Linked DNA regions of Neodiprion lecontei. The protein of the gene in region 2 binds, or shares a complex with, the protein of the main gene of each other region. Links are inferred from orthologs where the notes say so. Each region holds a gene or a part of one and is shown on either strand. Other genes may lie near its edges.

Region 1 (5,020 bases), on a different chromosome or scaffold from region 2:
TGGAACTCGGGAACTTGGATTCCCAACGAGACTGGGGACATGCTAAAGATTATGTCGAGGTAAATGACTATGTATTTTTCAACAAGTTTTCCAAATTTCCTCTAATTTTAAACGACAATTATAAATGCCGGAAATGTTATTGCGTTTGGAATTTTGTACACTCGGATCTAAACTACAGAGTAATTCTTGACGATTTTTCAATAAGAATTTAAAAATTGTTTTACAATTAACAATTCTCAGGCAATGTGGCTGATGCTACAACAGTCGGTCGCAGATGACTTTGTTATAGCAACTGGTGAAACTCACAGTGTCAGAGAGTTTGTTGAAGCCTCATTTAATTACATTGGTCGAACTATTAAATGGGAGGGCGAGGGTGTCAACGAAATTGGTCGCGATGCTGCTTCTGGGCAGCTCCTGGTTCGGGTTAATCCAAAATACTTCCGTCCAACCGAAGTGGTAAGAATCCTTATTTCCATCACCAAGATATTAAGTAAATATTGAGCATTTAACATCTATTCTAAAATGTTCCATCTTGATTCATAACGCAGGACTTACTGCTGGGTGATGCTTCAAAAGCCAAAGAAAAGTTTGGATGGCAGCCCACAGTTAAATTCGAAGTATGTATTTGAATAAGTTATTCTGATTTATCATTGGAACATTTCGAGCTGTCACCAGCTTAGCCAGTACTGAAAATTACCAATCAGAATTAAACTTTTTGGAAAATTCACTTTCATATAGGAACTGGTGAAGGATATGATGAAAGCTGATCTCGAACTGATGCGCAAAAATCCGAATGCTTAGCTGCGGCCGTTACTGCTTCGATGAAATTTCTGCATTTATACCACTTTAACTTGTCAGGAGTATAGATACTTAGATACTAGAGCGGTGTGAAGAATGATTAAAGGCATATTTACAGAGTAACGCAAAAGTAATCCGTGATTTGACAGAAACGTGGTCTCTTGACTAAATGTTCGTGATCGCGAGAGTCGAATAACGCTGCACAGTACGGTAAAAACAGACACCATGCTCAAAACTCTGAGAAGTCATGTATTTGGCAAAAAATATCCGGAGAGTGCATGATTTTTCGACACAATCCACCGAAACTTCCTCCCATGAGCTGTTTAACCAAAACGTAACATCTTTTATCATTATTTTGCTTAAGCTTTGTGAAATTTACGTGTCATTTTGAACTCCCTGAACGAAGTAATGCGTAGAAATTTCCCGCACTTGAAGCTTGAAATAAAGAAGTGGTAAACTGTTTATTATAATTGTTGAAAATTACCAGAAGAAATTGTATTATTTTTTGCTATAATTATACTCGAAAATGAAACGAACCAGCACTATCGTATTAGGTTTCCACGAATCTCTACTAAATGGCTTCCATGAAAACTTAATTCGATATTGTTTGTGGGTTTGATCTCACTGTATAATCCTAACAATTTACAATCCAATTCTTTCTTGTGCTTTTAAATCATTATGATAAACAGTTCACCAGGTAATTATTTAGAATTTCGAATCAACGATTTTGAGCCCTCTGAAAGGTACAGCTTGAACCTGATAAAATGGCCGCGCAGTTATAGAGATATTGAGTAAATAGAATGGAGCCTGCCCCCGCCCCAATCCAACAAGTTTGTCCGACACCACGTTGCTTCTAAAGTCTACTATATTTGGAATTTTTCATAGTAGCAAATTTCGATGACTGACAGTTTTCATGTATAAATTAAATTCATTATGTATACGCGGAGCCTTATATCGGAAACTAATTTATTAACAATAAAGAACATGCATGTCAAATTTCGTCAAGATAAGTGCTTGCATTTGCAGTCTGAAAAAAATTCAGATACAGTGTGATGTGTAACAGCGATTAGCTGTATTTGTAAAGTATTCATCGCATATATTTTTTTTCATCATTAGGGAGTTTAGAAACAAGTATAATTTGTATAGACCAGCAAGAGTCATTGCAACTATTTTACCTTCAAAGAATATATATACATATGTACATTAGGGTGTGCCAAATAAATGTTTTTTTTTCTGTTATCATTTCCCATATAAAAAATCAGTGCTTTCATGTATTATAAGAAGCGTCGTTTCATTCATTTTTTACATGGGAAACAATGAAAGAAATAAAATTTTGTTTATTGCACACTAATGTATATATGAGGCTTCATTATTTTTCTAAGTAGTGATTTCAACATTAAGATTGATCAGATTTTGTTACCTTCCTATAAGGGTAGTAAACGCTGCAACAGGTCAAATTCATTTCACTAATCCATTCTAACGGTAAATAAACAATTCCGAAAAAATATTTATAGTTTCTTCTCGATTGTAGGCAAACGATGAAATTACTATGAATACTTGAGATATAAATATAGAGAAAAATTTATATTTTGATATATATGACACCTAACTTTCGGAAATTCAAATTTCATGGAACTTAGGATGTGAATGTGAATTCATAAAAGATCGTGAGTGAATGTTCTATATGTAAAAAGTAGACACAATTATCATTTTTTCTATTACTGTGAACATTGTTGTAGATATTACACCGAGGAAAGCATAAGTCAAATAAGTTATAGGCACCAAAATTGTCGTACATGTGAGAATTTGATATGTAAGTTTTACTGCACTTGTTACAATTTATTACGATCAAAGTGCATATAAGGATTTAATCGAGGGATGCCTGTATCAACAGTTTGTTTTTCTCTGTTTAGAAATATTACCGGTGTTAATTGACGTTATGCAAGGGTTTTGTCAAAGGGGTGTGTTAAATTTTGATGAAGTCATACATTTGGGTGGTATCGTTTTCTAAGGATTTATTTTAGCACAAAAGCATTGTAGGTATACATTTAGGAAAAAATGTTATTCCATTAAAAACTAAGTATTATATATGCAAAATAATTTATCTATAAAATTTAGATATTCCAGATAGTCCAAATCTTTGGAGTTCGTTTTACGGTTTTAATAAAATGCTTGTATAAAATTCGAATTTCATAAGTTTAAAACTTTTTGAACCTTTTTCGACGTTGTCGCTAAAATGCCAAATATATGTTTGTAAAAAGCATTTTTCGTTACGAATCATTCCAACCCCAGATTTATCGAGTGTAATCTAATATTATCCATGTAAAAACATTTGACAGCTACAAAAAAAAAAATAACAATCTCTGTTCAATATTACCGAATAATTCTCGCTTCCGGTAATTATCTGCATCTTGTACAGCGACGACGCCTGTGATGTACGCCCGGATTATTCCAGCAACGAGGAAAGTGCGAAGAGAACTCTGGCGGTGCGTCGTGGCAGAATGTTGGCAGTTAAGCGGTTAAATCCACATCAAGAGAGAGCGATAGAGATGTGGCACGGCTTCCCTGCCACGGCGAATAGGCTGTGATGTGCGTGATTTATTGAATTTCCGAGAAAATCATGTTGACGTTCAACTACTTTTGTTTTGAAATTTAACATTCGAACTGCGCCTTTGAAGAAACAAACATTGGCATGTGTGATCGCAACAGTCGTTAAATAATCCCTAAACACCACCGCGCACATGTATATAACCGCGAGTTTTATCCACTGCAAACGTTATACCGTTTTCGCCTAGCGATGTTATTTCACGGTGGGTATTGTGTGCTAGTTACAATCACATTTCTGCGCCAAATAACAATATTTCACGTATAACCCTATAAAAACGAAGGAATATTTATTCCAGTGATGCTTTTCCTAGCTGTGAGATATATTTGTACGGGTATATATATTTTTTTTTTTTGTCCTCGATTATAAACCCAGATATTCTTTCATTTCGGTGATAATTTATGGACGATAAGCTATGGATGTGTTCATGAATCGTAAACAATGTATGTTGACATTTCGGTGAGACGTGTGATTATGATTTTAATAAAACCTCTGATACAATAAATAAGATTTAATATTCATTTGAAGGCGATATGATCCTCAGACATTTTTCCTACAATCATTTCATTCCCAGTTCTGACATTTTAATAAAATTCTCGCGCATATTTTCCATGATTTTTTCTTTTTTGCAAGAACGATTGCGGGATATTTTCTTACGAAAAGTAGGCACGATGGCAAACTTTAACGAAATTCTACACGTCAATTTTCGGACAAACGAATTTGCAAGAATTTCAATCGCAGTGATAATTGCGAATTAATTCTCATTATAAAAATGCAGCGATGATGTAAAATTACATATTTTAGGTCAGATTGTCTCCGATCGCGTATAAGCGTATGCAAATTGATATACGAAAGCATACATCACTACATTTGTGTGCGATCATATCCATCAGCACAAAGCGGATACCTCAGAAATTTGCATACAATTCCTTACCGTAGTATTTATACCTGGACGATAAGAATTCGAAGATTGACAAATTCCTAGTAAAATTCTTGAATTTTATAAATAATAGATAATAATCGGTGTCCGCAGGTTGAGAAGATATTACGTCATTCCGTTTCTTCTTCCGCACCTACCGCAGAGAAAAGTTTTTATCGTCGATTTTTATATCTTCTATGAGTTCATTCGTCACTGAAGTCGCCTTGGAGACAATTGGCGCCGGTGACTTTCTCAGGATGTTGTCGATCGTGAACATCGTCGACTTGATGCATCGTTCCGGAGGGCTGGTATACTTTGTTTCGTCTCTTCTTCTCGCATCTTGATCAAACGTTGATGCAACGTTTCGCGGCGCTTCGCTACAGTTTTGTTCTGGTGCGAAATGTTCTTGAAGACGGCTAGTCGACGTCGGTACCAGAAAGTCGGGACTCATCTGCGAACAAACATTTGTTCAGCAATTTCATGTATCGAGTATTATTCGCGTACAGCTTTGCAATTTTTCAGAATTCAAATTGTACCCCCGAGCGTTGCTCGCTTCGATCGATGTTTTCTGTCTGATATATTGGCAAACATAATACAACAATTAGGCAAACATTGCATGTTCCTCGTCGTGACAATTCACCGGCAGACGATCCGATACCGCTAGAACTATTTACCTTCGCAATTATCGATTAAAATAT
Region 2 (8,140 bases):
TTGATGAGTTATACACAAATAAGTGGTTTCTGCTAAACTCATTACAGGAATACTCCCTGTTCACCTCATTTGATTTTAGAAAGAATAAAAGCCACTTTTATATATGAGATCGTTTAGTCTTGGTATTATAAATACTGCAAAAAAAATTTTACCGACACTTCCTCCAAATTGTTACTGTAGATAAGAAATTTTTTTAAGTGGCGATAAGAAATAGTAACTTACTTAAGTTATCAGAGACAGAAAATGAATCTATGTAAAATGGATTCTATGCTCTATTATCGACAATAGTGTCGTATCGTGGGTGATGACGTGTTAACGTAAATGCAAATGGATCTAGTAATGCATGTGACCGAACATTACAACGTCTGTATCTGTTAGTACTAATCGAAAATATAATTAACTCTTTCAGACAGATGAGTAACCAACGATGATACGCGACCGTCAGTTGAACAAAAATTGAAACGAATAAACTCTCATCATTGACCAGTAATACATCGGATATTCAAAATACTTTAGGTCAACTTTTTTGTATTAAAGTCTTAGATGCGCGTTGCTGTGAATTTATTATTAGCCTTTATTCCGTAAAATTTTACTTTTTACTTGTGTTGAAATAAATATTACGGGAATAAAATGAATTATAGTGAGTTTCCACGATACTTTGATACGAATAAAAGTACACTGTTACATAATCCCCATGTTAAATAATTAACTGTATATAAATAAAGCATCTGAAATTATACCGCTACATGTAGTTGAATTACATTGAGTATCCTTTCCCTCAAAAAGCAACAATTCAGGGATATATAAATCTGTTTAGAACGTCTCCATCTCAAATTATGTTTCATCTATTATTTTAGATACAATTTATAGCGCCTGTATAATATATGCAACTCGTAATATTCTACATTTCCTCATACCTTTTAATTTCCGTAAAATATTAATTTCTCCATTTATTATTAGGGTATGAACGTGTATAATAGTAATTAAATATTTTCAATCGTCTCAAGTATTCAACACAACATTCTTCTAGTTACAATTTTTTCATAATATTTTTCTTTTACTATTTAATATTATTACTAAATGTTTTAATCCTAAGATATATATTTGTAATTGTAAGTAAATACATAATTATTTTCAACGCAAGTATTAACTGTGTAATTGAACGTTAGCAGTGGTGCAGAAATACGGACGAAAAAAAAAAAAGATCTTTTCTATTTTTACCGAAGTGATGCATACAAAATTTTGCAACGGGCAACAATGTTTGCCATTGCATTTATCACACCACTTTACACCTCTATAAAGTACACAATAAGATACTAGATATATTATGTAGACATTTAATTCAAAGTAAATGACTTGAGTAAAAATTTTTGCTGATAATGTCAAGAAAATATTGATTATTGCAGAAAGATCAGAAGAATCATTCCGTGTAAGGTGTAGACAATGCTTACACCACGTTAGTTCAAAATTCATTACCATTTCTAACTGCAATTCCTCGTACTTCTTGTCTTTTTATAAAACAAAAAACAAAATGTAGATATAATGTATGAACTATGAGTATGCCTGATGAACGATGAAGGAGTCTATACAATTGGATAGTAAAGATTGATTCACATCATACAACACGGGCTGTAACAAAACTATCTATTAATAAAAATTTTCTTCGTACTTCATCAATTGTTTAAATCAAACGTATCCAATGTGTGTCGTTTCTTGATTTTGTATTAAATATTCATTGCACCTATATTCGTAGACATATTTTAGCTTTCACTACATGTTCTCGTCAAGAAGTAATTCCATAACAGCCAAATCGCTGACGCTTAGAGATTTGGCCATTGATCCTCCTGTGATTAACTGCTGCTTAGTGGGTGCTTGTTCCGTAGGAATGCCGTGGAAATTCCGATAAATGTTCGTTCCAGGTCGTACTGGTCCATGCTGGATAGCGTGAATCAACTTTTAGTTGAACAGTGACGACAGGCGCACATCAAATCATTACAGTAAGTAGAAGCGTGCAAGTGTAGTACAACTATTATTTTCCTCGAATAAATTCTCATTAGATTACAGAATACTCTTGCACGCGTCTGAAAATTACTGCCTGCCATTCATTAAGAGTATGATGATTCAACAAAGTTAATACTAAACTTTTTGAGACATAAATGGCGTTAAAGCCCCTATTTTTCCCAAACCAAGTTGAATATGCTGCATATGAATTTCAACGCAGTTTTGAAACACTTGTTGATTTTGAGGACTCAGTTTCGATCTAATTTGCTCCATGGTTCCTTGAAGTACTTTCAATTCATAGGCATTTCGATCAGAATCCGACAAGCTCTGTGAAAAGAATTGGATATTATGACTTTTGGAAAGAAATCTGCATTTCTTTGCTGGAATTCTACGTATTGGGAGAATTTGAGGAAGATTTTGTTGTGAAAAGTGGAGTAAAACTAGGAACAAGATTTACCTTTACTTGAAGCATGAGAGCAGTGAGGTCTGTGACAAGTTCGCTCATCTTTGCTGGTGCCCTATCGTTAATGACATCATTTCTAGCAACCATATCGGCCGCTTCTTGATGGCACTTTTCCCGCAAATGAGAAGGAGCCAGCATAGCAGCAACGCTTGGTTCCGGAGCCATTTCTTGACATAACTCTTGTACGTCGTTCAAGAAATCTTGAAGCGCTACATTCATCTTTTCAAGTTCAACTACTATCCTGTAATCACAAAGAAATTTTATTTTTAATCCGTTCGTTGTTTCTATTCAATACATTACTAAGCAAAATTCTTACCCTGCATATTTTCTCTCAAAGTCAGCTGGCAAAGGCTCACCGAAAGACCGTCTCTTTTCCGCCTCACTGTTCATTTCCTTCAGTTTCTTTATCTTGATTTTCTTTGCCGCTAATATTTTGTCAACTTTTACCATAAACTCTAACAGTTTTAAGGGATAGCCATTCATCGTACCACCGATATGCGATTTTTTTGGGAGTGATACGGAGGCGTTGGATATTAAAGGGTCATTATTTAATCTGGGTGACATTAATTTCATTGCATAGGGAGGTGATGGCACATATTGCACCATCCGAGGTCTAAACTTTTGCGCGAACGAAGCTACACTAATGGTTTCTGGTGGTTCGTTTGACTGAAAACAAATAAAGGTTATTGAAATAAGTCAAATGAAGATGATCAACAGGCACTAAACAGTGAATATGGCTCAATTATTCAATTACCAGAACTTCAAAATCAGGCACACTGTGAGTTCCAAGACCCGCTCTTTCAAAGGTAATTCTGTAGGTGTTGTTGCTGGTATCGACTGCATCGATACTACCAGTGAAAAGGCCATCTTGTGGCTTTCGTAATCTTGCTGTAACTTTCGTTCCAATAACAAGTTGTAAAGGAATTTCAGGAGGCAGGTCCTTAAAGCTACTTATATCGGCCGTTTTTCTCTGCTGGAGCATACGAATTTTTTGTCTCTTCCTCTCTAACTCTCGTCTTTCCTCTTCAAAAAATGATTGGGAGCACCGTCTTGGCTTTCCCATCATTCTTCGTATTTTACACCATTCTACGCGTGTCAACTTTCGTGTTTTTAGCTGCGGAAAAGACTCCTTCAAACAAATCATAAAGTCGTTGTCACCATCAAAGAGCGTTCTGGAAGAAGAAAAATAGTACTTATCTAATTGCCCATTTTGAGAAAAAAAATTTCAATTGATAGAGTGTGTTAATCAATGTATGATTAACATTTGTACCAGAATTTGAATATCGATGCATTACTCAGATCGTTGACTAGAGATATGTATATCTTCAGTCAATGCTCAGATTATGTCCTATGGAAAGTGATGTAATGAAAACTACAGAATACTATTATTTTTCCTTGAATAAGGAAAAGACCCTCGGTGAAATCTTTCAAAAAAGTATTACAGATTACTTCAGGTACATTACTCACTTGTCAATGTTACTGTAGAACCATTCATAGCAGACCCATTTATGTGCTTTGGGTAATTTCAGCAGGTTTCTCAGTCTCATACCAATCTTCTGTCCAATTTTTCGGTCAGGAGATGCTGGTTGTGCCGGCTTTTCTGGCTCCTTTTCCTGTTTTATAGGTGTAGTAACTGGCGTCGATGGCTGCGACGGCGTACCCGTACTTCTCTTCGACTCACTGACATGTCTATTCTGTTTTTTAGCTGGGGATGGCCGTGGTATTCTTTTAGGAGAATGTTTCATTTCCAAATTGGGATCCTTTTTAATTCTAAAATACACATTAGAAGCACAAATCAAATCAGGCCTTAGAATTTTATCGGTACTTCGTCTGTTTACTAAAAACACATAAACATTAACTTCTAATCTACCTATGATGTGGATGGTTGACGAGAATGTCATCGTAGAACAATTTATTCTTTTTTCTGATCCTCGCAGGCATTCCTCGGCGATTCAATACTTGAATTGGTTGGGTTGGGGGATTGGGTTTTGGTGGCGGCTGCGTTCCAACCCTTTGCAGCCCCAAAGCCGCAGGCCCCAACTCAGGCATAGGTTCAGAATCTTCAGGATCCATATTTGAATCATCCATAGAATTATTCCAATGTGACTGGTCTTCGAGATCCATCAGGTCATCGTCGAAAGCTTCCTTTTTAATTTCATTGGCCAATGGGTAGCCACCGTTTTTAATCGACAGCAAGGTTTCCGCTGATTCATCTGAAATGAAAATGTGATTTGGTTAAGTATATTTACCAAACTATCTGAAAAATATAATTTGACAATAAAAGATGATTCTTCATCGCACCATATCAATATTTAAGAGGAGAAATGTAACATATCCGATAAGTAAGTTAAACCGTCAAAGATTGTACGTACACATATGTAAGCCAAAAGGTTGACCAGTTAATATCTATCAAACCTAATGCAAACTAATCATTTAACCTAATCCCAACATTCGGGATTTGCAAACGTGGTTTCACATCATTTGGCGTTTAAATATACTAGAATTTTTCCATGTTTATGGAACACAAAATTCAACCAGTAATCTTACATTAACTAATGGAAAACAAAACCTGTCCTTGCACTGATTGCGCGTCGTAGCGTTATGATTAACGTTTGTTTATTTACTACTTTGTATACAACCTGCTTGGTTGCGATGACTTTTGAATGATATAAATCAAGTGATTCAATCACTATTTCAAAAGTGTTGACAGACAGATACACATAAATCTTGTACTTACCTTATATAAGTATTTATATACCTTAAGTACTTAACACACAGCCTTGAAATGTACAAGTAAAAATACAAAATATGGATTCGCATGCAGATAAGTTACGATATGAGGCCAGTGATATGTCGAGTAAAGTTTTATCGAAAGCTATAATTTGAAAAATTATTGTTTTTAAATATAATTAGCATTATTTGAAGTAAGCCACACTTGGATAAGTGAGTTTTTGAAAGATTCGACGTCTTGAATGTTCGGAATTATTGCTAAAAATTATTAGAGAGTTTCCTCGTGTTAGAATTGAATGAAATTTAACCTTTGCTAGTTTGTCTACAATTTTGAGGTATCTACAAATGCGAGTGGGCTAAACTGGGCTAAACATAACCAATCTCTGGGAGCAACGTGTGTAAACATAGCGTGTCCGCACCTGTAAGTATTTTGCTTAATGAAATGTCAAGAATGTTGTTATACACCGTTAGTGGAATTCAAGGATTTGGCGTTTTAGAGTCCAGTCAACTAATTCCGCGAAACCAAATTTGTTCCTCGGAGGGCTCGTCATCCCGCTTGAATTCTGCATTGGTCATTTTTGAAATTTTGAACCCATCGTCGCCGTGCCTGTTTCAAACGTTAACTACAAACTCAATTTTAACTGAAATCCGTGCAACTGTGGCCTATATTATTATCACATAAGCCTAGATTACTATTATTACTATGCATTTGTACTTTGTTCGACTTGAACGACTTAATTTTAGGAAAAAATATGAAAATTTCACTCACTTTCAATAGTGTCCGCCATGTTGACGTACGCCAATGCATGCTGGGTACGTATTTCCGCCAAATCACCCCCACTACAATTCATAGCCCGATTCCGTCCGTTCCGCCAGTTCACCGCCACCAAATGCCGAGAGGGACGATTCGATTTGAAACTTCAAACACGAAGCTGGGTTCGTGGCTTCACAGCGCTTCGAAACTTGAATCAAACGCCATCAAATATATAAACTTCAAAGTACGGATACCGACGTGTTTCTCTTCCACATTACAAATTATTTAGCAAAAGACAGGCCACAACGATGAGAAACACGTGGTTTTTGTTGGGAATGTTTTTGTACATTAAAGTGGCAAAAAATGTTGATATAAGACCTGATATTATTAAGCACTGTAGAGATAAAGATCGATTAATCGGATCTGAAGAAAATGACTTATATTTACTGGTTGACGCTGAGGTAGATACGACAATTTTACTGGAATGCCATTACTGGTGAGCGGGAAATATAACAAGTTAAAGATCACTTTTATCGACAGGTTCAAATGCTTTACGATATTGATAATTACATAACATTTGAGACGAAACAATACTTTTCTGACAACAATTTTAGTAACGAAAAGGATGATCAGGTACCGAAGATTTGGTACTTACAAGACCGTTACCAGTCTACTACAGAAGCGGAAATCTCTTGGGGAATGGAGAATAATATGAGCTACAACAGGATTCACGTTACTCCGGAATTATCATTGGTTATCAAAGATTTCGAGGCTAAGGATGCAGGACTGTACAAGTGCCACGGATCTAATGGCCAGGAAGTAGAATCGAAATATAACTACAGATTAGAACGTTAGTCGTGCTAATTTGAGAAATATAAATCTAATCTGATGAAAAATAGGAGACTTTGCTGGGGATGTCATATTAGTACAATCAGTCGACTTCTTGCATTCCACATCAGTGCAAAAAAATCTTTTCAGCTGTACTCAAGAACACGGCAGGAATCTATAGACAAACTGGAAATCTGTCAGACTGGGTGTCTTATCACGAAATAAATTTAGCACCAGTTTCTCTACGCTTTGCTGTATAAGTTATAATTTCATGTAATAAATTAGATTTTTAATCGATCTGTTACTAAATTGAGACCTTTGGGACATCATTCGAAAAATTAACTTATTTTATCAATTAACTAAGTTCCAATTGTGAAAGTAAATATAAGAAAATGCAAGTCACCTTCGAATTAATCAATAAGTAATGTGATCGAGTAAAGGATGTAAATTTTCACTCTCAGGTTTCCCGGATGCCGGGTCTAATTGATATCCGAAAAATGGGTATAAAGCTGGAAATCGTCTCTGAATGGGGTCCCTGGAGTCCTTGCGAGCGATGCGTTCGTAAACGTGGCTATAGGACGAGAGTTGGTATGTGCAGAGTCAAGCGGACCATAAATGATGTAACGGGAGATCAACGAACATTGGAAATTTCAAGCGAATCGACCCATAATACGTCGGGGAAAATGCCACATGATAGAAAGCGAGGCGAAGGTGTGCCCACGTTATTTTTGAAGACGCCCATGTGGCCGTGTCGGTGAGAATAATTTCGAGTCAGTTTTAAGTTAACCACTGAGAAAAGAATAACGAACTGCAGTGGGAAAAGAAATTCGTGCGATCTCGTTACACGCAGCGTGCATCGTTCAGATTCATTGAATTCAACGAGCCATGTACAGATTGGTATATTGTTTTGTGCATTTTGATTATTAACGCAACAACGAACTTTCTTTACTACAGTTTTGTTCGCAGATGTAAAAACAGGAAAAATTGCAGTTTCTTTCTTCATTTTTCAAATCTTCTTCACCCATTTTTATGACAGTGACTTGATAAACTTTTACGCAAAAATTCATACCATAATCATTTTTCAGCTCCAAGGAATTGTACGATGAATATCCTGAAATTGGTACAGCGACAAAAGACTTGCCAGAATTTATACAGCAAGAAAAATGTAAGAAATGTTCACGATTCAAAAAACATAAGCGGCATAAATTCAGGTACAAGAAGAGATACGTTTTGGCAGAGGATGCTCACCTGACGATTACTTGCCCCGAGTAACGAGAAAATAAATAAATGACTAACAATTTTTCGCATATTATTAAAAAAAAATTGCAGATTAAAATTTATGAATTTAATATAAGGTTTAATTA

Evidence for each region. The genes of interacting proteins can lie anywhere in the genome.
Region 1: the proteins of protein lin-9 homolog (region 2) and protein lin-37 homolog are in contact, whole or in part, in a crystal structure (PDB 7N40), measured with the Homo sapiens proteins. The link is inferred for Neodiprion lecontei from reciprocal best matches to the Homo sapiens genes LIN9 and LIN37. Residues at the interface, in NP_001353174.1 of Homo sapiens: Lys99, Ala101, Ser102, Gln103, Lys104, Ile105, Gly106, Arg108, Leu109, Arg110, Leu112, Leu113, Lys114, His119, Trp121, Cys122, Ile123, Glu125, Trp126, Phe127, Thr227, Leu237, Phe238, Leu272, Ser273, Asn274; in NP_061977.1 of Homo sapiens: Tyr95, Ile97, Leu99, Phe100, Asp101, Arg102, Val104, Leu106, Ala107, Phe109, Ser110, Glu111, Asn112, Thr113, Pro114, Leu115, Tyr116, Ile118, Cys119, Arg120, Trp122, Met123, Asn125.

The regions. Positions count from the first base shown.
Region 1 is NC_060262.1:22,748,336-22,753,355, reverse strand, and holds the start of protein lin-37 homolog, read right to left. Parts: upstream 3,285-5,020; 5' UTR 3,233-3,284; coding exon of another isoform or gene 3,218-3,232; 5' UTR 3,209-3,217; coding exon 3,176-3,208; intron 3,062-3,175; exon of another isoform or gene 802-3,061; coding exon of another isoform or gene 739-801; intron 618-738; coding exon of another isoform or gene 549-617; intron 457-548; coding exon of another isoform or gene 241-456; intron 60-240; coding exon of another isoform or gene 1-59. Other genes in the region: GDP-mannose 4,6 dehydratase, read left to right, coding at 1-59, 241-456, 549-617, 739-801; fork head domain-containing protein FD2-like, read right to left, coding at 4,477-4,773.
Region 2 is NC_060265.1:9,410,957-9,419,096, forward strand, and holds protein lin-9 homolog, read right to left. Parts: upstream 6,117-8,140; 5' UTR 6,046-6,116; coding exon 5,964-6,045; intron 5,917-5,963; exon of another isoform or gene 5,614-5,916; intron 5,340-5,613; exon of another isoform or gene 5,202-5,339; intron 4,678-5,201; coding exon 4,335-4,677; intron 4,235-4,334; coding exon 3,932-4,234; intron 3,637-3,931; coding exon 3,219-3,636; intron 3,131-3,218; coding exon 2,781-3,130; intron 2,706-2,780; coding exon 2,459-2,705; intron 2,329-2,458; coding exon 2,143-2,328; intron 1,936-2,142; coding exon 1,771-1,935; 3' UTR 197-1,770; downstream 1-196. UniProt on the Homo sapiens protein: Acts as a tumor suppressor. Inhibits DNA synthesis. Its ability to inhibit oncogenic transformation is mediated through its association with RB1. Plays a role in the expression of genes required for the G1/S transition.